Linked DNA regions of Diceros bicornis minor. The main gene of each other region encodes a partner of the protein of the gene in region 4 in a complex. Links are inferred from orthologs where the notes say so. Each region holds a gene or a part of one and is shown on either strand. Other genes may lie near its edges. The genes, in order: TMEM186, cytochrome c oxidase assembly factor 1 homolog, TMEM126B and NDUFAF1.

What was found.
Region 1: NDUFAF1 (region 4) and TMEM186 share a complex: the UniProt entries of both Homo sapiens proteins name them as parts of the mitochondrial complex. The link is inferred for Diceros bicornis minor from reciprocal best matches to the Homo sapiens genes NDUFAF1 and TMEM186.
Region 2: NDUFAF1 (region 4) and cytochrome c oxidase assembly factor 1 homolog share a complex: the UniProt entries of both Homo sapiens proteins name them as parts of the mitochondrial complex. The link is inferred for Diceros bicornis minor from reciprocal best matches to the Homo sapiens genes NDUFAF1 and COA1.
Region 3: NDUFAF1 (region 4) and TMEM126B share a complex: the UniProt entries of both Homo sapiens proteins name them as parts of the mitochondrial complex. The link is inferred for Diceros bicornis minor from reciprocal best matches to the Homo sapiens genes NDUFAF1 and TMEM126B.

What each region holds. Positions count from the first base shown.
Region 1 is NC_080765.1:40,623,096-40,630,205, reverse strand, and holds TMEM186 (transmembrane protein 186), read right to left. Parts: upstream 3,108-7,110; 5' UTR 2,241-3,107; coding exon 1,506-2,240; 3' UTR 254-1,505; downstream 1-253. Other genes in the region: PMM2 (phosphomannomutase 2), read left to right, coding at 3,435-3,500. UniProt on the Homo sapiens protein: As part of the MCIA complex, required for efficient assembly of the mitochondrial complex I.
Region 2 is NC_080780.1:901,144-909,026, forward strand, and holds the start of cytochrome c oxidase assembly factor 1 homolog, read right to left. Parts: upstream 3,059-7,883; 5' UTR 2,986-3,058; intron 1-2,985. Other genes in the region: BLVRA (biliverdin reductase A), read left to right, coding at 3,493-3,526. UniProt on the Homo sapiens protein: Component of the MITRAC (mitochondrial translation regulation assembly intermediate of cytochrome c oxidase complex) complex, that regulates cytochrome c oxidase assembly.
Region 3 is NC_080746.1:46,900,868-46,908,532, forward strand, and holds the start of TMEM126B (complex I assembly factor TMEM126B, mitochondrial), read right to left. Parts: upstream 3,150-7,665; 5' UTR 3,128-3,149; coding exon 3,050-3,127; intron 307-3,049; coding exon 185-306; intron 1-184. Other genes in the region: DLG2 (disks large homolog 2), read left to right, coding at 5,113-5,131. UniProt on the Homo sapiens protein: As part of the MCIA complex, involved in the assembly of the mitochondrial complex I. Participates in constructing the membrane arm of complex I.
Region 4 is NC_080744.1:39,107,513-39,115,320, forward strand, and holds the start of NDUFAF1 (complex I intermediate-associated protein 30, mitochondrial), read right to left. Parts: upstream 3,021-7,808; 5' UTR 2,947-3,020; coding exon 2,371-2,946; intron 1-2,370. UniProt on the Homo sapiens protein: As part of the MCIA complex, involved in the assembly of the mitochondrial complex I.

The DNA.
Region 1 (7,110 bases), on a different chromosome or scaffold from region 4:
AGAACTGAAAGCAGGCTCTCAGCTATTTCTACACCAACGTTCACAGCAGCATTAGTTCGTAGCAGCATCATTCACCATAGCCAAAAGGTGGAAACAATCAAAATGTCCATCAACAGATGACTGGATAAACAAAAGGTGGTATATACATATATTATTCAGCCATAAAAAAGGAATGAAGTTCTGATACCTGCTACCACATGGATGAACCCGGAAAACATTATGCCAAGTGAAAGAAGCCAGACACAAAAGGCCACACAGTGTAGGATTCCATTTATATGAAATGTCCAGAATAGGCCAATCCATAGAGACAGAAAGCAGATTAGTGGTTGCCAAGGGCTGAGGGAGGGGGAACGAGGAGTTCCTGTTTAATGGGTTCAAGAGTTTCTATTTGAGAGGATGAAAAAGTTCTGGAAATGGATAAAGGTGATGGTTTCACAACACTGTGAATGTACTTAATACCACTGAATTATACACTTAGAAATGGTTAAAAGGATAAATTTAAGTTACGTATATTATCCTACAATAAAAAAAGGACAGGAAGGCTACACAACATTTAGTCATTGACTTTTGAGTGGCAGAATTATAATGATCATGTCTTCCTTCCTCTTTACTCTATTACAAATTGTATAATAAACATATATTACTAATTATGGGGGGCAATGCATATAACTGGCTTTAGTTTATAAAATAATGCCCCAGCATATAGTTCATCTGACTTTATCACACTGCAGATGCAAGCCCCTAGACCCCTGGGTGGTGAACACAGTCCTAGCAAGGGGGCTGTGCTCGTGTAGACAACATCCCTGCCCCAGCCACTGTGCAGTTACTGTCCTGGCAAGATGTGATGACCCACCTCTAGGCTTCCTCCCAGTCCCTTCCTTCTGCCCCCGGGCCCACGAAGGGGCACAGCACAGAGCTCGAAAAATCCCTACCAAATGCCTAGAAGCCTTTCACTGCCCCATCTCCCCTGGATTAATGGTTCACGTTTGCTCCTGGCTGTTGAGTTTGGAAAGCCCTTGACATGTATTTGTTCTCGCACTCATCGCATAGACAGGCAGGATTTTCCATTGTACAGATCTGAAAACAGAGGTTCAGAGAGACTCAACAACCTGCCCGAGGACAGGGAGTTGAGGACAGGGAGTCTTCCAACTCCCAATCCTGTGCTCCCCGCCACACCTCTCTGACTTCCGACCTCACAGCAGTTACTGTCTGAGTGAATCTGGCATAGCTTCCCCCAAGAACTGGCTCTTAACAGAAACTCCTGGCCATTACCTGTTTGAATGTCACACACAAGTGCAGTAAGTATTCTCACGAAGGGCCTCTTTCCTAAACCCAGTTACTAGCTTCTGCCTGTGAATTTTCCGCATCCCAAAAGACAAGTCCCCAGAGGCCTTGGCAAAGTCTCCAGCTGGCCGGTCCCCTTCTTCAGCCTCACTCACACCCTCGGCCTTCCCATGGGAGATCCAGGTGGCCCAGGGTGACCCAGAGGCCCGGCTCCCAGCTGTTCACTTGAGCGTGTCCAGCATCCCAAACACCTGCATGAAACGCTCCCTGTCCAGGATGCGGCCGTAGCGCAGGGTGAGGTAGAAGGTCTGCTTCCCGCTGTACTGCTGAATACGCACGAACAGCTCCTGGGGCCGGTCCTTGGTTTCCGTCATGGGGACCACGTCGGCCACGGGGCAATACGTGTCCTGTCGCCAGCCCCAGAAGGTCAGGTGAGCCACCCGCAGCACGGTGCCTGACTCGTTCACGTACAGGATGCCCACCAGCCTCCGGAAGAAATAACTCATCCAGCACAGCATGGCCAGGGCAAAGCCAGCGATCCCGCCCACGAGGCACAGGGAGTTGAAAGTCATGAGGCCCTGGGAGTACCAGTAGAGGCCAGGAGGCAGGGCCACCACCGTCAGGGCCGTCTGTGCCACCTTCAGCTGAGACAAGTACCCGAAGGCTCTGATGGCATCAAATCGGTAGACCATCTGGAATTTCTCTGTCTCTGTGCCTGGTGGCTTCTCCTTGGAGGCGGGCGACTTGTTCCCCACCCACCTCCTAGGATCCTGCCCACTGCAGCACCATAGCCGGTAGAGAGGCCTTCCCCACGCCGCTGGCCCTGGCAACCGCGGCACAACCCGGAGGAGGGCAGCCTGCAAGGGAGACAGGAGACCATTTCTCTCATAGAACTCAACCATGCTAATCACACAATGGACATCTGCAAAGCATCTTACACCAAGGCTCCCGACCATCTTGTGAGGTCGCCATTATTGCCAGAGACAGAGAGAAAGGGAAAGCCAGATGCTGTACCTCATGTGATCTTCATGCAAGCTGCGCAAGACAAGCATCCCTCCTTCCACATTACCACCGAGAAGCCCAGAGAAGGCAAGAAATTTACCCAGACACACAGCCAGCGAGTGGGGCAGGGTCTGATTCAAACAGATCCTCTTTCCTCTAGGCAGTTCAAGGAGATTCATTCGTCAAACACCCAGGGAGGGCCAACTCTGGGCCAGGCGCTGGAAGCATAAGGCTGTGCGAACATTTACCCAAGCAGGAAGCTAAACAATCAATGTTCTGGTGGGGAACAAATCCAAGAGATATGCATCCTAACAACTTCCCAATTCTCTGTCAGGGGAAAGCGTCATCTTGGGTGCTGAAGGGAAATGCTGTGTTCTTAGCCTAGTTAGGGGGAGGGGGAAGAACGAGGGAGGAGGGAGGGATGAGGCCCAAGGATTTTATTAGACGCACAGTTCTACACCTTGACTAGTGCAGGGAAAGATGCCTTGGGTTTTCGGGCCAGATCTGGGTTCTCGTCCTGGCTCCTGCAGTCACCAGCTACGGGTCCTTGGGCAAGTTACTCCTCCTCTGTGGGCCTCAGTTTCTCCATCTTTCAAATGGGGATTCGGAACACGCTGACTGAGGTAATGCTTTTAAAGTCCTCAAATGCACTTGATGGACTTGCACGGTGCGCACTCAGTCACATTTAATTACCGCTGTTGCTGGCCCACGTGACCTGAGCGCAGAGGAAGCCGGGCGATTGCAAATCGTAACCCACCCCGGAAGTATCCGCCGCGGATTCTCCGCATCGGAACCCCAGGCGTCTGCCTGCCTCCCCCAGCCCTGACTCCGACCCCAAAACCAGGTCACCTCCCTGAGTTCCCAGCACTCGCCTTCTTACCATGGGCCAGCTTCCTGCTGCCGGAAGTGAATCCCATCTTCCCCCGGAAACTTTAAGAGCGCATGCTCGGCCGTAGTAGGCCAGCTCTGGGGCGCGTTGCACTCTGGGATTTGTGGTCCGGCGAGACTAGCTGACGTTAGTCCCAGGCATTGTGGGAGCGGATTCTCCTCCTCCCGGCGTGCCCTGCGACACGGGGGCCGAACCCGGAAGTTCCGGGCCGAGTTCCCAGTGCCAACGAGTCAAGTCGCGTGTGAGGCAAAGTCTGGACATGGCGGCTCCTGGGCCAGCGCTCTGCCTCTTCGACGTGGACGGCACCCTGACGCCACCACGGCAGGTAGGCGGCGCCCGGCGGGCGGGCAGCAGCCAGTGCAGAGCCCCCTGCTGCTCCTATGCGGGACGAACGGCCGCCCGGGGTGGGCGTCGAGGGGCGTCCAAGAACCGCCTCCCTGCTGTGGCGGGGCTAAACTCGCTTCTGGGTGCCCTGGAGGGATGCGACGGAACCCCAGCCAGCTCTTCAAGACCTCAGGCTGCTCGGAGAGATGGGACGGGGCCGAAAAACTCTTGAGAGCAAGAAGTTTGTATTGGGTTGGGAAACGCAATTCTGGACTCGCACCGCAAGCCCGGGTCGACTATGGGCTGTGCCTTGTAGCCTGATAGGAAAAGCATGTTTCTAAGGCAAACAGACCTAGTAGAGGCTCAGCTTTACCTCTGGACAGCTGTGTGACCTTCAGCAAGTAGCTTAACCCCAGGGCCTCAGCATCCACAGCTTTAAATGGGGACATTACGTGTTACATATGGTGATTGTGAAGGTCGAATGAAGTCAAATAAGTTCATGAAAGTATCTTGCATACGGTAGGCCGTGTTCGGTGATATCCAATAAATATTATCCGCCGCCACCACCCCCTCCTCCAGCCTCTGCAGTGGACTAGGGTTATGGAGGAGACCTAGATTGTTACAGGCTGCCTGCTGAGAGCCCCCTTGGACCCATGGAAACGTGCTTCCCACTTCCAAATTTTGCTGCTACGGGCACGGATAGGTTTGAGTTAAGATCAGCATTTGTGTTCAAGCTTGCTCTGGCCTCCCCGTTGCACAAATTGGTCACTGAACACCAGCCATTTGAACTTGAGAGTGGGCCCAAATGGCCTCACTATCTTCAAGTTCTGTCCCTGCCACCCTTAGTTTTGGCTAGGTGGTAGTAGTGGCATGCTCCAGAATTCCACGTCGACTGTGTGACCCTAACCATATCATTTTATCTTTGTGAGCCGCAGGTTTGATTTACCTAGTGATGATACTCAACTGCAAGTTCTCGAAAGGCCCTTTTTGACTTTTTTTTTTTTTTTTTTGCCGACAAGGCTTTGTTTTTTCTTTTAGACATTCCGTCCCCAGTAGATAGTTGTATGCCATAGTTGCACATTCTTATAGATAACCGCTAAGCCACGGGGCTGGCCTCTTTTTGACTCTTGAGATTCAGTGATCAAGACACACTAGGGAGTTGTTAAAAGCCCATAGTGGTCTAGAGCAGAAGTCAGCAGTTCATGGTTTGTAAAGAGCCAGATGGCAAATACTTTTGTCTTTGCTGACCATATGGTCTGTCGTAACTAATGCGACTTTAATGCAAAAGTAGCCATAGACCATATGTAGACACAGCGTGGCTGTGTTCCAGTAGAAGTTTGTTTTATTTACTTATTACAAAAACAGCCAGCTGCTCAATTTGGCCTGTTGGCCATAATGGTCTGCAGGGTACATTCCAAGCTTCTTTACATTATGTCATTGGACCCTCTCAACCTTTCTCCCTCCTTCATCCCGGGTAGAATAGTTGTTACTACGTTTTAAATGTAAGGAAACTGAGACCCTGTGAAACCATGACCTTCTCGATTTCACACAGCAGATCTGGTACAAGTCTCTGGGCTTCGGGGCATTGTTATTTGTTAAATTTGTCATTTTCTGCCACTGTTCTAAGGTGGAAGCTGTTCTGATTGTTGGGTATGTAATTTAGGAAATGCTTCTGATTCCCAGAAGGAATCAGGATATATAAGCATAAAGTATGAAATAGTAAAGAAACCAGGCAACCCATTGGACTCCGTTAAAACCCGTTATTCCCTTAAAGCATTTTTTTTTCTTTTTTAGTGAGGAAGATCAGCCCTGAGCTGACATCCATGCTAATCCTCCTTCCCCGCCCCCCCCCCCCAAAGTCCCAGTAGATAGTTGTATGTCATAGTTGCACATCCTTCTAGTTGCTGTATGTGGAATCCGGCCTCAGCATGGCCGGAGAAGCGGTGCGTCGGTGCACGCCCGGGATCCGAACCTGGGCTGCCAGTAGCAGAGCACACACACTTAACCGCTAAGCCACGGGGCCGGCCCCGCATTAAAACATTTTAAACATTATATTCTTTGCAGTGAACATAAATAATTTTTACACTCAAAAAAAAATTCTGTAGTTTAAGAGAGAATTGTTTCTGTGTGCTGTAGGTAAAAAATAAAAATTATTTTAGCAACAAATCTATTCATTATGCAACCTTTCTCTTTCTCAATACATGCATTCTCAAACATTGGTAAGCAGAATACAATCCAGAAGCAGAAGAATAGGTTATCTTTTCTTGCAGCTGCTGAAAGAGGATATGACCTAAACAGGTAAAATCTAATTAAAATCTTTGCACATTTCACTGTTTTAGTAGAATTTTGTTGTGCTGAGTACTTTCCTGAGAAATGCCATTCCATCTAAAAACAATCGAGACTTGGAAGAAAAGCCTGCAAAAAGAAGAGGGGCATAAAGCTAGGTGAATTGTTTTCCAACTTTCCATCATGAAAAATTTCAAACATACAGAATCACTGAAAAAATAGTGCCCAGAACAGCCATATCCCTACCACTTAAATTCAACGATGGTTGATATTAACGTTATCTCTTTTTTTTTTAATCTTTGCTGTACCACTTCCTAAGCTGCAGTCATCACAGTTCTTTACCCCTAAATATTTGAGCCTGCATCTCTCGAGGACAACGTCTGTCGTAACCACAGTATCATCATCACACCTAAGAAAACTATCGCCAGTTCTCTCGTGTTAATACCCCAGTCCAAGGGCCAGCAAACTCTTTTCTGTAAAAAGCCAGATAGTAAGTAGTTGAGGCTTCACAGGCCGTGTGCTCTCTGTCACGACTGCTCAGCTCTGTTGTAGCCGCGGACACTGCATAAGTGAGTGGACGTGGCTGTGCTGCAGTCGTCCTTCACAGAGACAGGCAGGGGCCAGTTCTGGCCCACAGGCCTTATTTTGCTGACGCTTCCTCTACTCCAGTCAGGTTTCCTTAATTGTCCCAAAAAAGCCTTTTATAATTTTTTTTTCACCTTAATTTCAAGCTTTTGGATCTTTCTCTGTGTTTTATTTTGTCTGGGTGATTTATAAAGAATTCCTTGTAATTATCAGCATAAGAGGTATTTGGGAACATCACGACAATTTTGCTATGTGGTTATTTTGCCCTAAAGATCTCTCCTGCAGTGGGATGTAGTTTAGATGCTCTGTTGTGATCACAAGCAGCTGGGTCTCATTTCCTGTCCAGAAGTATGTGCTGCCACTTGGGTGCCTTCTACAACCCATTCACATGTGGAACAGGTCTGATGGCCGACCACAGTACCATCCAGCTCACTAGTGTGCATCAGGGTTGAGAGAGAATAAATGGTACGCTTAGGGTTCCGTTTGAAGATGGAGGTATTGCCTTTGTTGTTGTTATTGTTAGTACTGGACTTTTAATATTTTGCAATCAAAGGAGTCTTCCCCATTTCCTCTCCGTCTGATGTCAGGTCTGCGTAAACCACTTGGGCAACTCGGGGACCTGTTGTCACAGTCGTTGACTCATAGAGGCCCCTAGTGCAATTCCAGATTTTGTCTGCTAGGTCGAGATTCCACCGGAAGGTGTAGAAAAGATTGCATTCTGTTATAAGCCCTTGTGTACA
Region 2 (7,883 bases), on a different chromosome or scaffold from region 4:
AGATGCAACTTTTTCCAGGGAGCTATGGTATAGCTTTCCTCAAAATGTTTCTCAAAATGTTCAGAGATCCTAAAAATATCTCAATTACCACTACATTTAAACCAATGAAATGAGAAAAACAAATATCAAAATAATAGGATTTTATAAAACTAGTATTCCCAGCATGCCCCAATCAATATAGAACCAGCATAGTTATAGTCAAGTTCTGCACAGAAAAAAATCTTCTAATAAACTTCTGCCAGCATGAAATAAGCACCTACTATTCGATGACCACTGTCCAACATGGTTCACACAAACCTAATGCAGTATATTAAACATAAATAAGGGAATAACTTCTAGGAGTCTATTTGAAACAGAAAATTAAATGAACCAACAAAGCTGAAGCAGGTTACACATATTTTTCAAGGCAGAGAGATAGGGAGGCACCAGTGTCTGAAACAATGAACACTATAAAGTTAAATACGGTACCAGGGACTCAGACATCACACAACCAGGGAACTACTATGTCAGTTTCTATAAGTCCTGCAATTTGAGAATAATATCCCAAACTACCACCCAGAAGCCTCTTAAAGGAAAAGATTGTGAGTCCTGTCTACACAAAAATGTAAAACATTAGCATAGCAAAAGATATAAAACAAAGTTAACAGGCAAATAGACTGAAAATATCTGCCACATATCTAACAGTCAGTGGGTTAACATCTCTACCACAGAACTCCTACAAATCAATAAGGAAAAGACAAAACTCAATAGGGAATAGATTATAAACTATTTCCCCCTGCTTTGTTTTTCAAATCTTAAAATGCTGCTCACAGCTTCTTCACAGCATTTTTTCCGGGGCCTGGTCCTCCACTCATTGAAGTTGTTATTCAACTCACTCTCTGAACTACCCCCACAGAGCTATAACATGGTCTCCAGGAAGACTAAAAATTAACCTTATGTGCTCTTCATTTAAAGGAACTATAGCATAATCTACAAGACCAACATATATCTGATAAGAGACTTGTATCTAGAATATATAAAGAACACTTACAATTCAACAATGAAAAGACAACCTAACTTAAAAATCAGCAAAGGATATGAATAGACGTTTCTCCAAAGACGATAAACAAATGGCTCACAGCACATGAAAACATGCTCAACATCATTAGCTATCAGAGAAATGCAAATCAAAACCACAATGAGATATACTTCACACCCACTAGGATGGGTGGAATTAAAAAAACAGATAATGACAAGTGTTGGCGAGGATGTGAAGAAATCAGAACCGTCATAGACTGCTGATGGGAATATAAAATGGTGCAGCCGCTTTAGAAAACAGTCTGGCAGTTCCTCAAAACGTTAAACATAAGAGTTACCATATGACTCAGCAATTCTACTCTTAAGTATACACCCAAGAGAAATGAAAACATGCTGTTCACACAAAAACTTGTACATGAATGTTCATAGCAGCATTATGACAGCCAAAACAACTCCAATGTCCATCAGCTGACCAATGGATAAATAAATAGTGGTATATCCACACAATGAAATATCACCTAGCAAAAAAAAAGGAATGTACCGATACTACAACATGAATAAACATAAATGTTAAGTGAAAGAAAACAATCAAAAAAAACCACATACCCTATCATTTCATTTATATGGATTGTCCAGAATATGCAAATATATAGACAGTAGATTAGTACAGTAGTTGCACAGGGCTAGGAGTAGGGTTGAGTAGACGGGAAATCAGAAGAGACTGCTAATGGGTACAGGGTTTTCTTTTTGGGGTGACGAAAATGTTTTGAAATTGATTGTGGTGATGGCTATACAACTTCGTAAGTGTACTAAAAATCAATATATTTTAAATGAGTAAATTCTATGGTATGCGAACTACACCTCAATTAAGCTATTTTTTAAAAGGACTGTAGATTGTGACTTTTTTTCCCGTTATATCCCCAGCTCCTAAAACACTGCCTAGCAATATCAGGAATTCAATAAATTCTGACTAAATGGAAAAATAAATTTCAAAATGTGAGCAAACCATTATAAAACCTCGTCATATTCAAAGTCATGAAATTACTGCAGGTTGGCAAGGCGGGAGCATACAGTACGTATCTATAACCGTGTTTTTCATAAAAGGAGATGAGACTGAAAAACTCAGTAGAAGCAAGACCTTGAAGGGTCTTGATGCCAGGCTAAGAAATTCGTATTATCCTGAATCAACGGGAGGACCAATAAGACTTTGAGAAGAATAACACAATCAGATCTGTGTTTTAAATGTGCAAAGTGTAAGTGGTGTTGCTATTCTGTCCAAAGCTGAAGTAGAGCAATAGCCCTCAGGTGAGAACGGGGAGGAGCTGGGGGAAGAAATGAGAAGCAAATGTCAAAATGTAAGAATCTTTATGGGTTTCTTAAATCACACAGCACACCGCGCGCGCGCGCGCGCGCGCACGCACACACACACACACACACACACACACACACACGCCCCGTCACCCACACTGAAAATCACTTGTATGGTCAGCCTCTGTATGGAGCTCAAGTTCGATGGGGACAAAAACTATTATGACCACTGCGCCAGAAAATTCTCTCGCACAGTCATCTGGGCAGGGTCCTCCTCAGAGAGTCGTGATTCAGGACTACCAACAGAGCGCCACTGTCGCCTCTCCGGGAGGACCCCGACTCTTCACAAACGGGCTCTTGGCACGCCCAGGAAGGACCGCAGGGCGAGGCGACGGTCAGCTGCGCACGGCCTCACAGCTCCAAGGGGACGGGCGCCTTGCAGCGTCTCAAGGCGCGGAGCCCACCACGGGCCCCCAGGCGCCATCCACGCAGCCCAGGGAGGTCGCGAGCCGCCGGGAGGTGACCCCTGAGGGGGCTGCCCTTGCAGCAGCCCGCCCGCCGCGCAAACGCGGCCGCCCGGACTGCGGGAACCAGCGCTTCTGGCGGTAGGAGAGGCGCGCACCCCTCTCGCGCATCCCAGGCCGAGGGGCGAAGGCTGACCTGTCAGGGACACAGGCACCACGCGGCAGGAAGCAGACGGGCTCCTTCCGGATGTGGGCAGTGGGTGGGCAGAGCCGCGGGTGGGCGCGCCCCGCGGGGAGCAGTCGAGACTTCCGGCGTCGCCGCCTCGCGGGGCTAGAGCGTCGGGATGGCTGGCGCCCGAAGGCCCGCGAGCGGCTGGGCGCGGGCTGGGACGGCCTGGGCTGTGTGGCTTAGCTTCCTAGACGCTCGGATTTGCGTCGGGAACGGGTTCGTCTCCTCAGATCCCCGCTTTTTGTTTTATACGTCCCGTTAGCCCCCAACACACATATGCAGTCCGGGAGCGCTGGCCGAGGAAGTTTAAAGCCCTGGTTCCTATTGCTCCCCGCAGAGATCTGACGCTTCGGCTCTCCCGCGAGGACGCGAAGCCACGGGGATCTGAGCCCCACGCTGGCGGTGAAATCCACCTTGCCCTATTCGGCTGAGAAATTTGGCAACGCTCAATTTTCTTTTATTCACCAAATATTTATGAAATGCCTACTGTGCTCCAGGGAATGCAAGGGTAAGAAAAAACTAATGGTCTCTGTTTTCATGGAGTTTAGTAGTAAAATAGATAATGATAGAATCCTACAATGGATAATGATAGTACCTCATAGATTTCTTGTGAGGGTGTAAAGCACTTAGAATCGTCTGGCACTTTGTAAGTGCTCAATAAGCGTTAGCTGTTATTTTCATCTTGACCGTTCCATTGCCATCATCACCACTGTTTTCATCATCATTTACATTTTCAATGTGAAGCTTAGAGTCCAAGTACCTTTCTTCCACAAAGCAATGAGTCTCACGATTGATGGGTCACCTAAATGTGATGTGTTCATACACATCATAACCATAACTCCAGGGTGATGGAGTTATGGTTACCGCATAACCATAGCCAGACTATTCAAGTTTAGTCTAAGGCTGTGGTCTTCAAACTCTTGATCACACCTCCCTATCAGAAATAAAATTAGATTATATACGCGTACTATGTATGGTATTGATATATATTATGCATACTATAAAATTTTCACAAGAAATAGAACTTTAGAAAGGTGAAATAAAAATATTAATAGAAGTTCTGTTTTCTGCCCATGCAACAAATAGGTTGCCATACATACATGCCATCACTTTGGAGTCCACTGGCTAAAAGAGCACATTATCAAAGAGGCCTGTCATTAAATTATGGATCCCCAGAATAGTTCTTTTATGAAGAATTAATAGAAACTAATCAGATTTTAAGGTGCTTGAACTATAAGGACTATTTGAATGGTTCCTTACATCAGAGGAAATGAAGAAATAAAATAGGCATCCATTGATTAATCTTCATTGATCTGACATTGATTATTGACTTCTTAAAACCCAAAGAGATTAAGATTGCAATGTCTGGGGCCAGCCCAGTGGCGCAAGCGGTTAAGTGCGCGCACTCCGCTGCGGCGTCCCAGGGTTCACCGGTTCGGATCCCGAGCATGCACCAATGCACTGCTTGGCAAGCCATGCTTTGGTGGCATCCCATATAAAGTAGGGGAAGATGGGCACGGATGTTAGCCGAGGGCCAGTCTTCCTCAGCAAAAAAAGAGGAGGATTGGCAGATGTTAGCACAGGGCTAATATCTTCCTCACAAAAAAAAAAGATTGCAATGTCTTACACCAAGCTTGAGATTTCATATAATAAATCAAGTAACAAAAACCTTATGAGGTTTTGTATATGTGTATTTTATACAGTATTTGTGAAAATGAACCCTGGATCACTTAGCTCCTATACCATACCAGAAAGAGAAACATGATTACTTTGTAAAAAGAAAGCATAAAATAGGCTTTTCTGACCATTTGCTTGAAAACTCAGAATTTACCTTTCTATCACTGGACTTACATCTACTAAAGTTTTGATCTAAATTTTAATATGGTTTAATAGTTTATAGTTAATGTTGGTATGTATCTGATATTTATTCTCCTCTTACTCCTTTGTTACGAAACCCACATCTTGTTCAGATAGCCACCCTATTCCCAGCACTATAAAATGATACTGATTAAATCTAAACCAATCACCATACAGAATTCCTCTAGGAATAGTTGTTGGTCAAGGGATGAGCAAGTGCCTCAAGTTAGCTCAATCAAAGCTGATGCTGAGGACAGCTGAACAAAGTGATAGAAATATTATTCCAAGCCTGGAGCTCACCCTCTTTATGAACTTCTTGTAGGGATATCTGATGTTTCCTTCTTGTTTTCTGATAGAGATAGTGTGAAGATTAAATGAGTTAAAATAGTGCTGGTAATGTTTTAAACGTTCAAAATGTTAGTTATTATTGTTAAGTCAGCTTGAGACAAGGATTCTGTTTCTTATAGTCAAAAGTATCCTATCTGATTCATACCTCTCTCTCTTTTCTTTTTATTTATTTATTTATTTTTTTGTGTGTGAGGAAGATCAGCCCTGAGCTAACATCCGTGCTAATCCTCCTCTTTTTGCTGAGGAAGACCGGCTCTGAGCTAACATCTATTGCCAATCCGCCTCCTTTTTTTCTTCCCCAAAGCCCCAGTAGATAGTTGTGTGTCATAGTTGCACATCCTTCTAGTTGCTGTATGTGGGATGCGGCCTCAGCATGGCTGGACAAGCAGTGCATCGGTGCATGCCCGGGATCTGAACCTGGGCCACCAGTAGCGTAGCGTGCACACTTAACCGCTAAGCCACGGGGCTGGCCCTGTCTCTCTCTTTTTTATATATTTAAGGAAAGAATCTGTTTCACTACCTCTTAACTTCTAAGGAGCCAGGGCAGGGGTAGGAGGTGGAAAGAGGAGGAGTGTTGGCTATAATGCTGTCTATGAGGGGTACTGTTAAGTGGTGAGATGGCCACTTTGAGAAATGCACTCAACAATGGCAGGATCCAATACAGCATATCCAGTATTTCAGCAGCAGCCTGGAACTATCAAATCTGAATGGAGTTACTACACATGGTAGTTGTTTATATACGTGGACATATCATTTTCTGCATATTAATATTTTACTCTGCTACCTTACTAAGTTACCTTATTGTTTGGAGTTGATTCTTTTATATTTTCTAGGATTGCAATCATATCATTGAAATAGTGATAGTTTTACCTAATCCTTCCAAATTTTATACAGTCATACATCGCTTACTGACAGGTATACATTCTGAGTGTACTTACACAAACCTAGATGGTATAGCCTACTACACACCTAGGCTATATGGTACTAACCTTACAGGACCCCCATCATATATGCAGTCCGTCGTTGACCGCGAAACCTCATTATGTGTTGCATGATGTTGGGGAAGAGGGAGAATGCCTCCCCACCCTTTCCTTTAAGGTTCTTATGGCTGGCCAAATAATTAAAAATGCAGGCTAGCAGGAGAAAATCAAACAAAGTTTAAGAACATGTATACATGGGAGAAACTCAGAAAATAGAAACTGAGCAACTCGTGCTTCTGACTAAGCTGCTCACTTAAGTATTTTCAGCTAAAGGCAGGGAGGTTGTTGGGGGTAGTGGTTTGGGATTTCAGAGGGGAAGAAGACAATTCACATGGAGATGGAAATGCAAATGTTTGTCAGGCAGATCTTTACAGGGCCACCTATAGAGAATGTGGCTGGAGAGACAGAATTTTTGATAAGATGGGCTTGTTGGTGCCTTTCTTATCGCATTTATTTTACATTATATACTACAGCCATCATATGGTAGTGGCTCCTTCCTGTAACAGGCATTCTACATTAAATTCTTTAGGCAGTTTGGGAGGGGAAGCTCAAATGTTCTCCTGCATCTTCTGAGCCTTTATTGTCTTATTATGTCGAAATAATCCACATACCAGAGTGGCACATCTTCGGGCGGCTTGCCCTGAACACCATCAATGACTGTACTTCTAATTTCTCATATCTAATTGCATTGGATAGTATTTCCAGCAAAAAATATTTAATAATAGTGAAGACAGTGGGCTTCCTTGTCTTATTCCTACCTTTAATGGGATATCTCTAGAATTTTCCCATTTAGCATGCTGCTAGTTTAGGGGACTGAGGTAGATATCTATTATCATGTTAAGGAAGTATCCAGCTATTGAGAGAATAGGGAAAAATTTGACACAGAGGCTTTGAGAAAACAAAGCATTGAGCATGCCATTGCATCTTGTCATAAAACTAAATGTAAATTAGACAATATTTGCCTCAAAGACACTAATAAAATTAACATTAACTAAGTGGGATGAATGTTCTTTCTTACTTATCTTACGTACTATCATCATGAAATTGAGTCCTGACTAGTTCGTTTACAAGAAATTCCCTTGTGATATCCTGATTTTTAACCCTGGAAAAGTTTTTTGTTATCTCTTATAAAATGTCACCTTTAATCCAAAGTCTATGCTTGTTCTACATGTTTGTTACAGGAAATTGCATGGATCTACTGTAGTTTTATAGGAAATTGTAACAGTTCAAATATGCTGGTTGTAGAAAATAGGGACAGTTATAATGATAAGGAGGTTACGTCATCACGAAGATATAAAAATCCCAAAAAGGAGAGAAGTTAGAGAGGAAGAAGACCAAATTCTGTGTATGAATTGCCCATATTTCTGGCTGACACCTGAAACACACACATGTGGAGCAGACTTTTGAGCTATCTGAGGCTCAAAAACTGAAGAGAGACATCAGCTGCTGCCCACCACAGGTGAGACTGGCAGAATGAAAAGAGAAATAGACAAATCCACAGTTATAGTTGGATCTGTCAACACTTCTCTCAGAAATTAGCAGAAGTTCTAGATAAAAATTTAGTAAAGGGCTGGCCCCATGGCTTAGTGGTTTAGTGCGCGCGCTCTGCGGCTGGCAGCCCGGGTTTGTATCCCAGGCGCGCACTGTCGCACTGCTTCTCCGGCCATGCTGAGGCTGCGT
Region 3 (7,665 bases), on a different chromosome or scaffold from region 4:
CACAGTTCCAATATTCCAACAAACCACTATTTTCGTCTGTTCACATTTCCCTCCAGTTCTTTTAAAAGCTTTCTTCATAAACAACTCAATAAAGTTAATAGGATCTTAGATACTCAGAAACAATGGCAATACAGAAGATCTGCAAATAAAAGTTATTGACTTTCAGTCTGGGGGTGTCTCTTACTTTTCTTTTCTAAGATATTCAAATTTTTTTTCTATGATTTCGATGACCATTGGTCTTCTGAGTTTTGCATCTCCTAGAGAAGGACTGGGCTGACCATGTGTGTATGTTGCCATCCTGATGTCCTGGAAAACACAAAATTCCAGAACCATAATAGCTAACGATATTAATATTAAATCTTAAAAATTCTACAGATTCAGATTAAAAAACATTTAGACCCCAGTAATGTGTCAGGTAACTGTCATCTGCTTTCACACACTTTGTTAATGATTCAGTCAACATTTAGTGAGCTCTTACGATCTGCTAGACAATCGCTTTTTGATTCACACAATAACTTTGAGAAACTAGTAGGATAATGATCATCTCTACTTTTATAGATGAGAAAAATGAGGCTCAGAAAGGGTGACTTGCCTTAGGACTTAGTGTAGAAGGATAACTTATTGAAATACTGAGTTTTTGTTTTCCTTACAGTTTTCCCTGAAGGTACCCAGGCCCTTTGTTTTAGTTCTCCTTGCTGTAGCTTTTTCAGAGCTGGAAGGAAACAGTAGCTACTTGTTGACAACTATCTCTATCCTCTGTCTCATGAAAGCCTGAGCTCATTTTGGAGATTATGTTGAGTTTCCTGGAACGGCAGGAGAGAGCGGGGATTGCCTTAGAGAACAGCAAGAGAGAACACCAGAAGGAGGGACACTCTTCCAGGCCAGGAAGACATAGTGGATCATGGCTACTTTGGATCATATAAGTTATATATCCAGCTCTCTAGCAGCACCTTGGGCAGAAGCAGGGCCTTTGCTGGAAATTGCTATTTGGTATACCACGGAGCCTGGACACATGGCACTGGGCTCCAGGGTTGGAAGGTTCCTGTGTCCCAAGTGTGATGTATGAACAGACAGTTGCCAATGTCAAGGGACCATAAGGGTTTGGCTAGTAGCTTCTTACCAGAAACCAGTGGTAAAAAAAAAAAAAAAAAAACCTGGATCCTCAGAAAGGATCTTTTCTGAATCTTTTGCTCTGGGTAAGATTCTCAGATCTCTGTGAAAAGTCTTAAAAATAACATTTGTTAAATCTTTTACTATGCTGCCATCAATGGGATTCCAGATTAGCCAATGAACGAATAACAAAATCTCTGGCCCTTCACATTTTATACCAGTCTCCATTTTAACAACCTTTATAGTTAAGGGCATGGATTAAATCTCAAATTTCAGAAGTCTTGGGCAAGAGAATAGAGTAGAGTAAGCAAAATAAACCGAGAAGATACTTAATAAATCAGTGATTCTCAACCTTTAGTGTGCACAAGAATCACATGGGGAGTTTATTTGAAATGCAGTCTCTTCAGCTCCCTCCTGAGATATGTGTATTCAAGAGGAGTAGGGTGAAGCCTAGAAATCTACATTTTAGTAACACCAAGTGATTCTGATGCTGGCAGTCAATGGACCCATGGTGAACATCACTGTAATACTCATTTGCTAAATAAGTGATATGTACCAATCCTAATCCTAACTAACAAAAGGCCAATTCATCCATGGCATCAACATCCTAAAGGTATGAGTTCCTTTGAAACTTCATATGGTATTACATTATGAATAATAATGGACCAGTTTCTTCCCCTGCAACATTGTAGAACTGTACTCAAGCCAGTTCTCTTTCCCTAACATATCTGAGGAGGACAGGAAAAAAAAAAATGTTACAAATTACAATTTCTCAGGGACTAGGTTTAATCTTTTTTCTCTCTCTGACATTTAAATGGAAAATGGAAGAGAAGTGATAGTAATATCTAAGGGAGATTCTATATCTAATCTATCTAACGTACCACGAAGGCAGATGTCAGTAACATGATAACCAGAAACCTTGGACAAATTTTTGTTTTGCAATCATCCCATTCATTGAAGTCCCTTACTCCCCACAAAGAAAACTTTCAGGCAATGCCTTGTACCAACCTCCTACCTTGTCTACAGCCTCAGTATCTAGGGAACACAGACACTCAGGATTATGATCTCAAAATACTGAAACACGACAGCAAATATTTATCGAGTGCCTAGTCTTTGCAAAGCATTGTTAATAAAGCAGAGAAAGTAACTGGTCACTTTCTGATAGATTGTTAACAAGTACTGAAATGTAAAGATTTTGCTATAACCAACATTTTATCTAAAAATTAACTAGTCTAAGGCCACTCAACTGGTCACCACGATTGTACCAGTAAGAGTGCATTTATGTAGGTTTATAGTTTACAAAGCATTTTACGGTTTTGTAGTGCTTTTATTCATATTATTTCACTTGACTTTCAGAATTTTATTCGACATTCACTCATCATTTACGGAGCACATGGTATTTGACAGCCCCTCCCACAGCCCCCACCCCCGCACCCATAATCAAGATCCTCACGAACCCACAACCCAGCCGGAAGTCAGGACTAGAAAGGCAGGCAATTTAAACGCAGGATGAGTGTGCCATCAAAACAAAACAAAAAACATAAGAAAAGCCAAACATAACCTAGCCAGGGGAAGTGTGGGAAGGTTTTCTGGAGGAGGGGACATTTAAACGAATATCCGAAAGAGGAGAATTTGGCGGAGGTGGGGTGGGGAGGCACAGGTGCAGGGAGGTATTTCAAGTTGAAGCAAAGGCCAGTGCAGACGCTCGGAGGCAAGAGAAAACAAGCTGCAAGCTACCAGGACTAGATTTGAGGTCTCCTACTTTCTCTTTGCCTCTTTCCATAGCAACTGAGGACTAAATTAAGTACGACCTGCATGGATGTGGGAGCTGGTCTCTTTAGATTTTCAAATCCCTTTTACATGCCTCATTTCAGAAGAGTCTGCCAACACTTTGAGGCTGCAGAAATCACTGCCCACAGAACTCCCGGTTTTTGCCTACCTTGGGCGCTCCCCCAGCTCCCACCTGCACACCTGCGTCCCTCAGGTCAGCCCCAGCCTCACGCCCCAGCGCCGCCATTTTGGCGGCTCACGTGACTTGCGGGTGGGCGGGAACCCAGAACGCCCAGGGTGGGAAGTGGTGCCGGCTCACGCGTCTCTCCTGCAGCCGGGGCCCGCCCCGACCCAGTCAAAAGCCGCGCCCTCCATCCTGGCTGTGATTGGGCTCGGCGTCCTGAAATTACTGCCGCTCATTGGCTTCGAGGAGGTCCAGTCGCCCGTGGGCCCGCCCCTCCTCGCCAGCCCTGCGTTCCCTTCCCTTGCTGTTTGTTCGCCTAGCTCGCTCTTCTCCCACCCTGAGGGGAATGTGGGGCGTTCCGAGCGTGGGGGTGTTGCTTCGCGCTGTCCTCCCCTCAGGGCACCTCCGTTGGCTGCGGCCGAGCTGCCTGCCCCTTTCGCTCCTCGAGGGAGCTGGCCCCTCTGGCCTGGTCCGTGTGTTAAGACTCCAGCTTCTCGGACACCTCCTCCCCAGAGCCCCCAGCCGGCCGTCAGCACAGCCCCGACTAGCCTCCTCCCCTCGCAGCCGCCTGACTCCTCTCCCCAGTCTTGAGTCCTCTCACATTCCACCCTTTCACCCTGCTTGGAAAGGGACTGGAGAGAAGTTTGCCCCCCACTCTCCGAGAAGACCTCCTTGCCAGCCGGTGTTTCGGGGTGGGGGACGCTGCGAGGAGGCCTGGCGCCCTTTTGTGCACGTTCATTGCCCAGCAGTATCTCCCAGACCAGCAACCCCCGACCCTCCAGTCTCCATGTCTTAGAGAAGCCAAATTCGAGAGTTATATAATTTCTAGTGCTGCTGTTCCTCCTGCCTGAGGAAACACTTCGTCGCGTGGAGGGTGCAGGACATTTCACTGCTCTTCTGTATAAGAGCGGGGTGTGGGCAGGGGTGGCCAGCGGTGGCAGAGAGATTTCGTGTCTTTTCCGCAAAAGGAAGGTGGGTAGTTTGGAGAGAGATTGAGAAAAAGGGTGGATGTGGAAGCCAAGCAGCCGAACTCTCTCGTTTAGGAAATCGCGAACCGTTTGCACAGCTTATGCTTACATGCCTAATACTACTACAGCGTCTCAGAAAACACCTTTGGGGGAAGGTTTGACTTCTCCTCGCGAACAGTCTCAGTGTTTTTCCTCGCCGGATAGGGAGCTGCTTGGATGCGAAGAGATGGCATGATGTGAATGACTCCAGTGTGAAGAAATCTACTTCGCCAACTCATCCTGCATCAAGTGCCCATTGAGTAGCACTGTCACTTTAATGTCTCCATGCCAAGGGATTGCTTTCCTCTTTTCAATCCTCTCGGTTAATACATGGGAGGATCAGAATCAGAGGGGCTTTAAGGATAAAGCCTGAGGGGCTTGGAGAGCACAGAAGAAAAAAATGGAAGTGACAGCAAGCTGGATTCTGTCTTACTGAGGGGATGATCCGGAACTTATGGTCCAGTAAATAGAAAGGGGCCTTTCAGTCTCTGTTCTGCCCCAGAAAACTGTTCAAACTCACCCACCTTTTTAGAGACCAGAGTCAAAGAGATTTTTTAAGTATTTTTTTTTTGGAGGGGGTTTAAAATTTTCTCTAAAGAATTGAGAATCTTTATCGTCAAGCGGTTCATCTTTGAATTTGATCATATATAGAGTAATGAGACAGCTGTGTAAATTTGGTTTGTGCCTTAATTGAGTTAGTCACTGAACTCCAAAAATGTTGCTGCCTGAAGGGGAGTTTTAATAACGTTTTCTATGCTTACAATAATTTTCTCAGCTTTTTTTTTAAATAGAACAAATATTTTATAAAAATTGAAAAACTCAAAAGTTATTTTTCTCTAAACTGTGTGGGCAGTGTCAAAAGTTTAACTGTGGAAAATATACGTCTTTTTTTCTTTATGTGAAAGAGAAGACAGCCTGGATTTCAAAACTGAACAGTAAAGTAATTTGCAACAGTTACCTGGCTCTTGGCCTCAATCCAGCTGGATCAAGTTGAGACCTGAAAAGAGATCTTGAATCCTGTGGCAGTGCAAAGACCCAAGAATGCCAGTCAAAAAGAAAGGTGGGCTATGAGGCTTCCTGTATAGTATATGTTTCTTCATGTTCTTCATTCTGGTATTCGCAATTTAAATTGTATTCCATTTGAGAGTAAAATTTTGTTTGAGTTTGGGGAAATATTTACTGTAATAATGTCTTTTCAGTGATACATCATTCAGTAATATTATTTTGCTAAAGTGAAATGAAGTAGGACTATAGTATTTAATTACAGACATTTGTGATTTCATAAATCAGGTTGTCTAAATCACCATTTATAATCAGCGTAGATTTGATACCACAGGTTTTGATTTTTCTTTAGCTTGTTTTCTTAGCTTGTTAAAGGTTACTTTAAAGAATCTTTAAAAAACTTGTACAGTAGAGTTCTTCCTCATGGATTTAATATTTATCAAGCAAATTACATAGTTGTAAAAGATAGTAAAGTTGTTTGCACTGAAAAAAATTATAGACTTATTATTTATCTTTTGATTAAAAAATAGATTTAGTATTTGGGTTTACACTAGTGTAAATCTTCACTTTTGTGAAAAAGCACAACTTTGGTAACTGTTGTGCTTTTCAGATGCATGCATTATCCAATAACATGATTGGCAAGTTCCCAAAATGAAGCAAACACCTGACACTCTGCGCCCAACCCACCCCCCCACCCCGAATTGATCAAAATCCAGTGGGTTCCTGAGGTATAGTTTATTATAGGTCAGATCTTGAGGATTCACTTTAGCCTAGATCTACCAAGGTGAACTTTGTTCTTAAGGATCCTAGTGAAACAGGTTTGGTTTTTTTGACGTTGTATGGAAGATCAGATCAACTATAAAGAGTTTTCTTGAGAGTTTTGAACCAAAATTTATATGAACACCTTTGAACTCTACTGTACTGGGCTAGCATAGATCCAAATGTTGACTAGTTATATGAGTTGCTGCAGTCTGAGACTAAAGCCCAGGGTGAAGGTTAAAGTGCAACCTGGTTCTGCATGATGTTTAATCCTTCTACCTGTGGATTTGAAAGGTGCATTGAAGAAACTTATAATCAGTGAGATGCTTTATCCCAACTGGTATCTGTAGAGATGAGCAATGATATATAAAACTTTTGAAACACCTAGAACTGTCCCTTTATACACTGGGATTTAAGACTGGGATTGTTTCCTTCTGCTCTCCCCCATAATATCACTGAGAGAAGTAAACTATGAGATTTTGGAGCCACACCTGTCCAGACCTGACACAATTGGTTTATCTGGAACAAGAGTGGTTTTGGGAATGTAGCAAATAAAAGATATGGCTCTTTGACTTATTTAGCTTGCTGTGTGTTTTTACTCTGTCTACCATTTATTGTTCTGTACACAGTGTCCCTTTTGGACTACTTTATTTTAGACTACTAATTGAATTAAACGCTTTATGTCTGTGTGTGTGTGTATGTGTGAGAGAAAGAGAGAGAGAAAGAAGAGAAGAGGGGGAGAGAGAAAGGAGAGAGGGAGGGGGAGAGACAGAGAAAGGCATAAAAAGGTATCTGGGAAGGAGGAGGAGGAAGGGCAATTGATGTTCTAGGTATAACTTAACTAAGCAGAGTGAACTTAAGGTTTCTAAACCCAATAGACTGAGTTTATTAAAAGTTCCTACCTTTAAAGGAAAATTGCTGATACGTTATTGAAAATCTTACTTTATGAGAAATAATTTGATATTTATTTCCTTCCTTCCCCCTCCCTCTCTTCCTTCTTTCCTTTCTTCCTTTCTCTCTCCCTCCCTTCCTTTTTCCCTCCCTCTCTTTCCTCTCCTCTTCCCTCCCTCCTCTTCTTTCTTTCTTCTTTGACAATGGTTTGATAGTAATGGATCAAATTTTTTAAGGAATCAATCAGTTCTAATTAGCAAAACATGTATATATGTGGATTATACTAAGATATATGCATTATGTAATTTACCTAGAGAAGTAGTTTATCTTTTTTTAATAGCTTAAAACTATTAGTATTAAGATATATATTTTTGAATATTATAGACAACTAGCCAAACAAGTTATGACCTGTGCATTATATTTTTAACTGGTTAAGCTTACTATCTATACTGTTTCTAAAATATAAGTAAAACAAATATTTTAAAGTATAACCTAGATTTATTCTGCACTGTCCTCTGTCATCTTGAATCTTTTTTCTTTTTTTTTTTTTTTTTTTTTGTGAGGAGATCAGCCCTGAGCTAACATCCGCCAATCCTCCTCTTTTTTTGCTGAGGAAGACGGCCCTGGGCTAACATCCGTGCCCATCTTCCTCCACTTTATATGGGACGCCGCCACAGCATGGCTTACCAAGCAGTGCGTCGGTGCACGCCCGGGATCCGAACCAGCGAACCCCGGGCCGCCGCAGCGGATCGCGCGCACTTAACCGCTTGCGCCACCGGGCCGGCCCCGAATCTTTTTTCTTTTTAAAGATTTTATTTATTTATTTTTTTCCCCCCAAAGCCCCAGTAGATAGTTGTACGTCATAGTCGCACATCCTTCTAGTTGCTGTATGTGGGACGCGGCCTCAGCATGGCCGGAGAAGCGGTGTGTCGGTGTGCGCCC
Region 4 (7,808 bases):
AGAGGTATTCTGATTTCAAGAATACCAGTGCTCAGATATGAACTATTATTTACTAGCTGTGTAACTTTGGACAAGTTACTAAATCTCCCCAAGACTCAGTTTCCTCATCTGTACAATTGGGATGATCATACCTTACAAGATTGTTGTGAGGAATAAAAGGGATAATGTATATAAAGTAATTAGCACAAGGACTGGCAGGGTACATTTAATAAATGTTATCAACTATTTTCATTACTCCAAAGTAGGTAACTAGCCACAATTATTTTCTACTGTGGACTGACCAAATCCATTTTGTGGATTTTCAGTGCCAGAAAAAAATTTTGTATGCAAAGTTTGTTGCCTCTGAAAGAACACATACTTTTCTTTTTCATCATTATCCGGAGAGAGGGAGCCTCAGACTACTCCTAACATTTGCCTTTCTCCTTAAAGCACAATATCCAAGCAAACATCAGGGGCTGTGGCCAAGGCCAGGCACGGGAGCCTGTCCAGCCCACCCTGAAACAAAGCCTGGTGGGCAAATTTGCAAAAAGCCATAGACTGGTAGTGAAGACAAAAGAGCTGACCTAAGTAACTTTGGAAAATAGTGTTCTGACTGGAAACTGTAACGCTACAGATAAAACGAACTATATGTCAACATTGTACTCTAGTTGGTAAAGTTATTTCTCTCAGAGTTATGGGTTAAAAATTCCAAAAGTGCTTTACATGTATAAGTAATGTTACTTATTTAGTATAATTAATAAGTAAACGGATGGTAAATGATGGGAGACAGGTTTCTCACTGTTAGAGAGAAGTTACAGATAAGAGGGGGAAGGCTAGAATGAATCATATGGTACTAGATTAGTCAGACCATCAGTATGAACTCATATTTAGGTTAATATAAATATAGAAATTATAGACAAGTGTGTTTCCACACGTTGGTATGCATACATATATTTCCCAGCTGTGTCCACTGAGAGCGCCTAGAAGTAGTGGCAACCCAGTAGCAACAAGCATACTCAGCACCCAGATCTTGGTTTCTAATACCATTATCCAAAAAAAGGAACCAGGGCTCCTTTGAGAAATGGTTAATTCTAGGGTTGGAACAGGGAAAATACAAGATGAGCTTAGAGCATCTTATAGTTCCAAAGAGTGCTCAAAACACAAAAGGGTGGGGGCATATCAAAGGGATAGGAACCAACCTGAAAGAGCGCCCAATGGCCAAAGCTGGAACAATTTGAACAACAAAATAAATAACATAGTATTGAATTATAATCCAAAGTGTGAGTTCATACTAAATGACTGAATAAATAAATAAGTGTGGGAGAAGAAACAAACCTTTACTGAAGAATCCCAAATAATTTATGTGAACACCACTACTTCCAGGAGATAGAGCTTAAACCCATGCCCCACCACTCACATTCAATGTAGGGTGTTCTTCCAAAGAACAGAGTATGGAAAGGAGAGAAAAACAAGTAACTTAACAATGGTAACCTGGAACACTACCTTGACCAGGTGATCAAGGTTAACACAATAGTGATAAGTCATGTTGCTAGCATGACCCCTGATATGATGTGATGAGAAGAGTACTTCAACTCTGTAGTATTCTTCCTAAAAACCCAGAACCCCAGCCTAACCAGGACAAAAAAACATCAGAAAATCCCAAACTGAGGGTCATTCTACAAAATACCTGACCAGTATTTCTCAAATCCTCAAGAAAAATAAGGAAATACCAGGAAACTGTCACAGACCAGAGGAGATTAAGGAGACATGACTAGATGTAATGTGGTATTCTGGAATAGAAAAAGGATATTAGTGGAAAAACTAGTGAAATCCAATACAGTCTGGAATTTATCTAATAGTAGTGTACCAATGTTGGTTTCTTAGTTGGGACAAATGGACTATAGTAATGTAAGAAGTTAACAACTGGAGAAGCTGGGTGAGGTGCATACAGGAACTCTCTGTACTATCTTTGCAATTTTTCTGTAAATCTAAAACTTCTAAAATTAAGTTTACTTAAAAAAAAAAGCCACAAGCTGACCCTACATCCACTCTAAGGAACCCCTGGACATTATGGGTTCTATGGTCTACGTTAGAGGAGATGTGAATCTCCCCAGATCATCTTTCAAATGTCTAACCTCTCAGGGCTCCTCAAACATAAGAATGTCCCACCTTGGCCCAAGGTGATGCCCAGAAACAAGAAACTCCTCCTCTAGAACCATTTCCTCCTTGTGCTTCCGCTTTACACTTGTGCCCAGTAGTTATTTAACCCCATACACAGAAGAGATACCAGGTGTTTTCATTTACAGAAACAAAAGCTGTCTGCTATAGTTCATGCTACAATGAAGTTCACCCCAGTTCACTAGAAAACTGAGGCTGCTGGGCCTCACCTACCCTTGGAATCCTGGATATCATTGCACAGTACCCACTGCGGCCACTCTCCCCATCCTGAGGCGCCTCAGAGCTCAGAGTCCCATACAGTAGTGCACTTTGGTTATTCTTGCCCATTTTCAGGAACACTTCACTTCTGCCTCCAATTGTCTTATCAGAAGTCACTATCCACTTATCCAAATCTTCTTTTCCACGGAACTTCCAGACAACCTTGGCTTGTTCCAGGAAGACCTCATGCAGAGGGCGGCCTTCAGGCCCTATCCAATGATTCACAATATCATCCTTCAAACGTGAAAAATGGTCCTTTATCTCATCTTTAATTGCTTTATCAAAACTAACTTCAGGCTTCTCCTCAGGAGAAGTTATATCCAAAGCAACATCTCTCTGGTGATGTCCTTGCAAATCCCCTTCAGTCTTCCTCTGAGAGGAAGCTTTGCCAGAAACAGCCACTGGTTTCTGAAGACTACTGGAACAATAGTCTGCAAAGCGACTACCCCAAAGTGGATATGATGCAACACTCAGCTTCAGGCATTTTCTGAGAATATAAGCGCCATTCAGCAATTTGTGAACCAAAGCCATGGTGAGAGCAAGTCAAAATGTAAATTTCTCACTGGGCTACCACGGAAAGAAGCAAATAGCCCAGTTCCACCTATAACAGAAAAGACGTTGAAGAGTTACCAGTACAGCAATGAATGCACCACAATTTCAAATTCAACACGGATAATGTATTATGAAATTCATGAATTTATTTTCTAATTCTATAAATATTTACCCAGGCCCTATTATGAGCAGAGCACTATTTGCACTGTATGTAATGCATCCCACTGCTGTGTGAAAAAAAATACCAAGACGAATAAAAACACAGGCCCGTCCATAGAGCTAACGATCAACCCAAAAATTATTCCAATATGTGCTGAAAGCTACCTAAAGAGGTTTTATCAACCTTAAAGCAAATTTTTATGCTAGATTTTTAAAGAAACAATTGGTTCCTAAAATAAAATATACAATTAATTCACTCTAGGACCTGAGCCAACCGACTTAACACTTCAGCACTTCATCATAAAAACAAGGACTACAGTGAGCATTGTATGCGGACTCAGAAAACTTGGACTTGACACCTGGCTCTGCCCACTTATTAGGTTACGAGTATTGTGAATACTGGCAATTTCACATGGTTAAATGTAATAAACCTGTTTACCCTCAGTTAAAGCAGTTCATCTTTTGAGGCCTCCATTTCCTCGGGAGTAAGACTGTGTTAACACCTCCCCCACGTACCTTAAGGGATTCTTCTGAAGATCAGATGGAATAATGACTATATGAGGGCTCTCTGATCCATTAAGTCTGACAAGATCCCCAAGATTCTTCACATCTAACAAGGTCCTAGTCCAGGGCTCATACTTTGAGTAACAAGGCTTTGACTATGTCACTATTCAAGCTCCTCAAAGATAGAACCTAAGCAATAGTAGCAATAATACCATAACATATCTTTAAATATCATTCTTAATATTTTCATATCACTCTGACATATATTATCTCATTTAATCCACATAAGGATCCTGTAAGGCAAGTCAACTAGATATTTCCTTTTTCTAGGAAACTGACACCAACAGGTAAAGTGACTTGCCTAAGCTCACATTGCTAATTGGTATCAAAGTTAGAACTAGAACCCTGGCCTTATGTCCTTCCACTAGATGCTGCTGCCTATCTATATGTAAAACATTAGCAATATAACTTCTATAGCTCTAATAAAATAACAACTTTGCTTCTAGCAGCAACATTTAATGAGTGCTGGCAGGAAGTGCTGCCAGAATCAGGAAGGCTAGACTAGTCCCCTCTTCTATCTATTCCAGCTACCTCTAAAGGGAAATAAAATACCCAAGGCCAATTTATTTGCCTTTCTCCTCTCCCGGCCCCAGAGACCAGAAAAGAGAAAACACAAAACCAAAAACTCACCCACTAAGGTGTCAGCTAATAATATGGTGTAATCATACACATAAGTGCATCAAATCAACACGAGGTGCACCTTAAACTTATACAATGTCAATTATATTTCAATGAAGCTGAAGGAAAAAACCCACAATAGCTGATTTATAAGAAAGCCATATTTTCTTTGCTAATTGCCTGATGTCAATAATCTAACTACTACCAGAATATTTCTCTTTCTAGTGGTTAAACATTGGAGCAACAAACATGTAATAAACTGCCAATAATTACCCTAGGATTCTCTAGGAAGACATTGCCTTCCTTCCTCTATTAGAAAGAAAAAAACTGTAAACATTAGAATCTACCTCTAACAATTACCAAATGTCCAAATGCTCACTTTCAAAATTTGAGAAGAAAAAGGATTAAATGTGCTTCAACCTGAAAAACAAAAACAAAAACAAAACAAACAAACAAAAAAAACTCACCCACTAGTCAGAACATGGTGCTGAGTGAGACACTAAACGGAACAGTGAAAACATTAAAAAAAAAAAGCCTCAGAAATGCCAAAAATCCAACAAACCAGCTCACCTGCTTCAGTTGCCTGAGTCCACATCAAAATGGCTAACTACAACATAGGACTGGTCATCCTTCTAGAATGCCCCTCCTTCCTCACTGCCCACATCAGGTGGGTCATACCTTCTCTCTCTTAGATCACTGCACTCTGCTTCCTGCCTCCAGGCTTGTAATCCTCACCACCTCATCAACCACTCAGCATCTAGAAGGGCCTAACACACCAAAATGATCATTTATCTTCTCTGATTAAAACACTTCAGAGGCTCTCTTAGTCTTCAGAATAAAGCCCAACTTTCTCCACAGGGTCTACAAGACTCCTCCAGATCTGGCCTCTGCTCATCTCTCCAACCTCACCTCTAGTCATACCCCACTCTGTGCTCCAATCACAGAGAGTACTTGCAGTCCAACAGGTACCACCCAGTACTACCTCTCTGGGCTTCAGGTCTTGGCCAATTGCTGCTCCTAGGAGAACGCCCTCTACTGAATTTGACTAGCTAATTTATACTTTGGGACTCAGCTTAGACATCCGTTACCTCCTCCAAGAACCCTTCCTTGACTACAACTCCACAAGACTGTTGCCCCTCTGATGTGTTCTCACTGCACACTGAGTTTACACTTTCCCTGCTACAATTTACTGACCAATTCACTTGTCAGTCTCCCCCACCAGGCTGGAAGTGCCTTCAGGGGAGAGACTATCTTCATTGTGGTACTCCCAGCTCCCAGTATGGTGCCAGGCATGCAAGAGGCTTCTAATATTTGTTGAATAAATAATATCTCCACATTTCTCCACCTCCGCCATCAGCGTCTTGGTTCAGGGCCTTATTGCTTCTTACCAGGAATACTGTAATTCCCCTAACAAAGGGCTTCTCAAACTTGAGGGTCCTTATGAGTCATCTGGGAATTTGGTTAAAATGCAGATTCTGATTTAGTAGGTATAGGGGCGGGCCTGAGATTCTGCATTTCTAACAAGCTCCCAGGTGATGCCCTTGGTTTTGGCCCATGGGACAGCCTTTACATAGCAAAGTCCTAACTCATCCCCCTGACTCTAACCTCCCCCTCCTCTCCCAATCCATCCTTTGCCTGGCAACAAAAGGGATTTTTCTAAATATGATGGCATTCCTCTTATAATAATTCAGCAATTCCCCCCAGAAATTCAAACTCCTAAAATGGCACACAAGGCCCTCCAAAATGTGCTCAATTCCCTGACCTAACTTCTCCTCATATCCATGGGCAATATCCTCAGCTCTAATAAGACCAACCATAATCACATCTGAACACAGGAAAAAAAAACAAACAAACATTGTTCAAACCACAAAAGTGACCAAACATTCTACCATGCTGGCTAATATGAGTGACTGCTGTATCCTAACCAGCCATGGCACTAGCCTCACTCTAGATGGGTAAGATTCCCTCCTACATTAGATTTAAGATAACTAATCGTAGAACTATCTCCACCTCCTGACTACTTTCCCAAAAATCACCTAACACAAGCCTAAATCTAATAATAAGTCCCTTTCAACATCCTCTTACTGAGATGCCCCATGGTGTCCCATGGTGTGTGTTCTCCCTCACTACAAGGAGTAATAAACCCAACTTGCTCAACTAGAGGCACGTTCCTGGAGGGAACTGTAGGGCAGTTCTGACTGGAGGGCACTGACATTGCTCTCCTTCCATGGTCTCATAAGAACCTGTGCACACGTTCATAGCCCTTACGTAACCTTAGACTCTTGCCTTCTATCTGTCTACATAACTAGCCTGACCTCCTTAATCTTAGGGACTATGGCTTGAACATAACTGATGTTCAATAATGTTTGCTGAAAATAAATGAAAACCATGTAAACGATATGTTTTCACGTGGACTAAAAATAGAAGGGAACCAGAAAAAACAAAAATAGTTGATCAGTGGTCCCAGAATCATAGGTACTATTTAAATTTCCCTCACTTGTGCTTAAATGATTTTACCTCTACATATACAGGAATTCGGAAAACAAGCCCATAAAGTGGAATTTGTACAATCATAAAAACGATTCTTGTGAACCCCATGCTTAGGCTACACTACTAAGTGGCATATAAGGAGGAATCAAAATGGCATTTACTATAACATTAGGAGTATAAAAATGTACAGACAAAAAAGACTTGGGGGGAAAGAAAAAGGGCTTTAAAATCGTGTGTAGGCTGATGGAATTATGAGTAATATTATTCACCCTATTTTCCAAACCCTCAGTAATGCTGTTATTTCTCTAACATTATAAATGTTTTGTTTCATATTTTTACCAATAAACATAAAGTCAAACCTATTCACTGGACGATGCCAGGCCAAAGTTGACAGCGAGTTTTGACGGCAACGTAACCCACGCAGCTACAAGCCATTAGTCTTAGTAAAAACTGTATATCCAGGGCTCAGCATGTGCCAGAAACTGTTCTAAGTGCATTTTCTTTAACCCCTCACAACAACTCTGAGAGAGGTACTATTATTATTCCAATTATAGAGACCGAGGTCCCAAGATTAAATTACCCGGGGTCATACAGCTAGTAAGTGGCAAAACTCTAGAGCCCCGGTGTTTAGCTCCCGATTCGGGTCCGGGAAACAGAAGGGACAGCGCCGCAGCCAGGCGGCCCCTCAACCCTCACCTGCTAGCGCTCTGTGGCCCCCCACTCCCGGACGCACCAACAGCCGGCTGACGCCCAACAGAGGCTTCCGCCAGGGTCCCCTGCTTTTCCTAACCGGGTTCTCCACTTTTCCCGTGTAGGTCCGTCTGCCTTTGCCATCCGGCGCCAAACCAGGCAATAGGACACTCGAGTTCCGGTCCGGTGCGGAGGCCTGGGAAGAGCGGCAAAGATCCCAGAGCCGAGCGAACTGAGGCTTTTGGTCCACTAGCTTCCCAAAAGGCCCGGCTTCTACCTCTGCTAATCTTTTCTGCCCTATGTTAGAAAGTTGAAAGAAT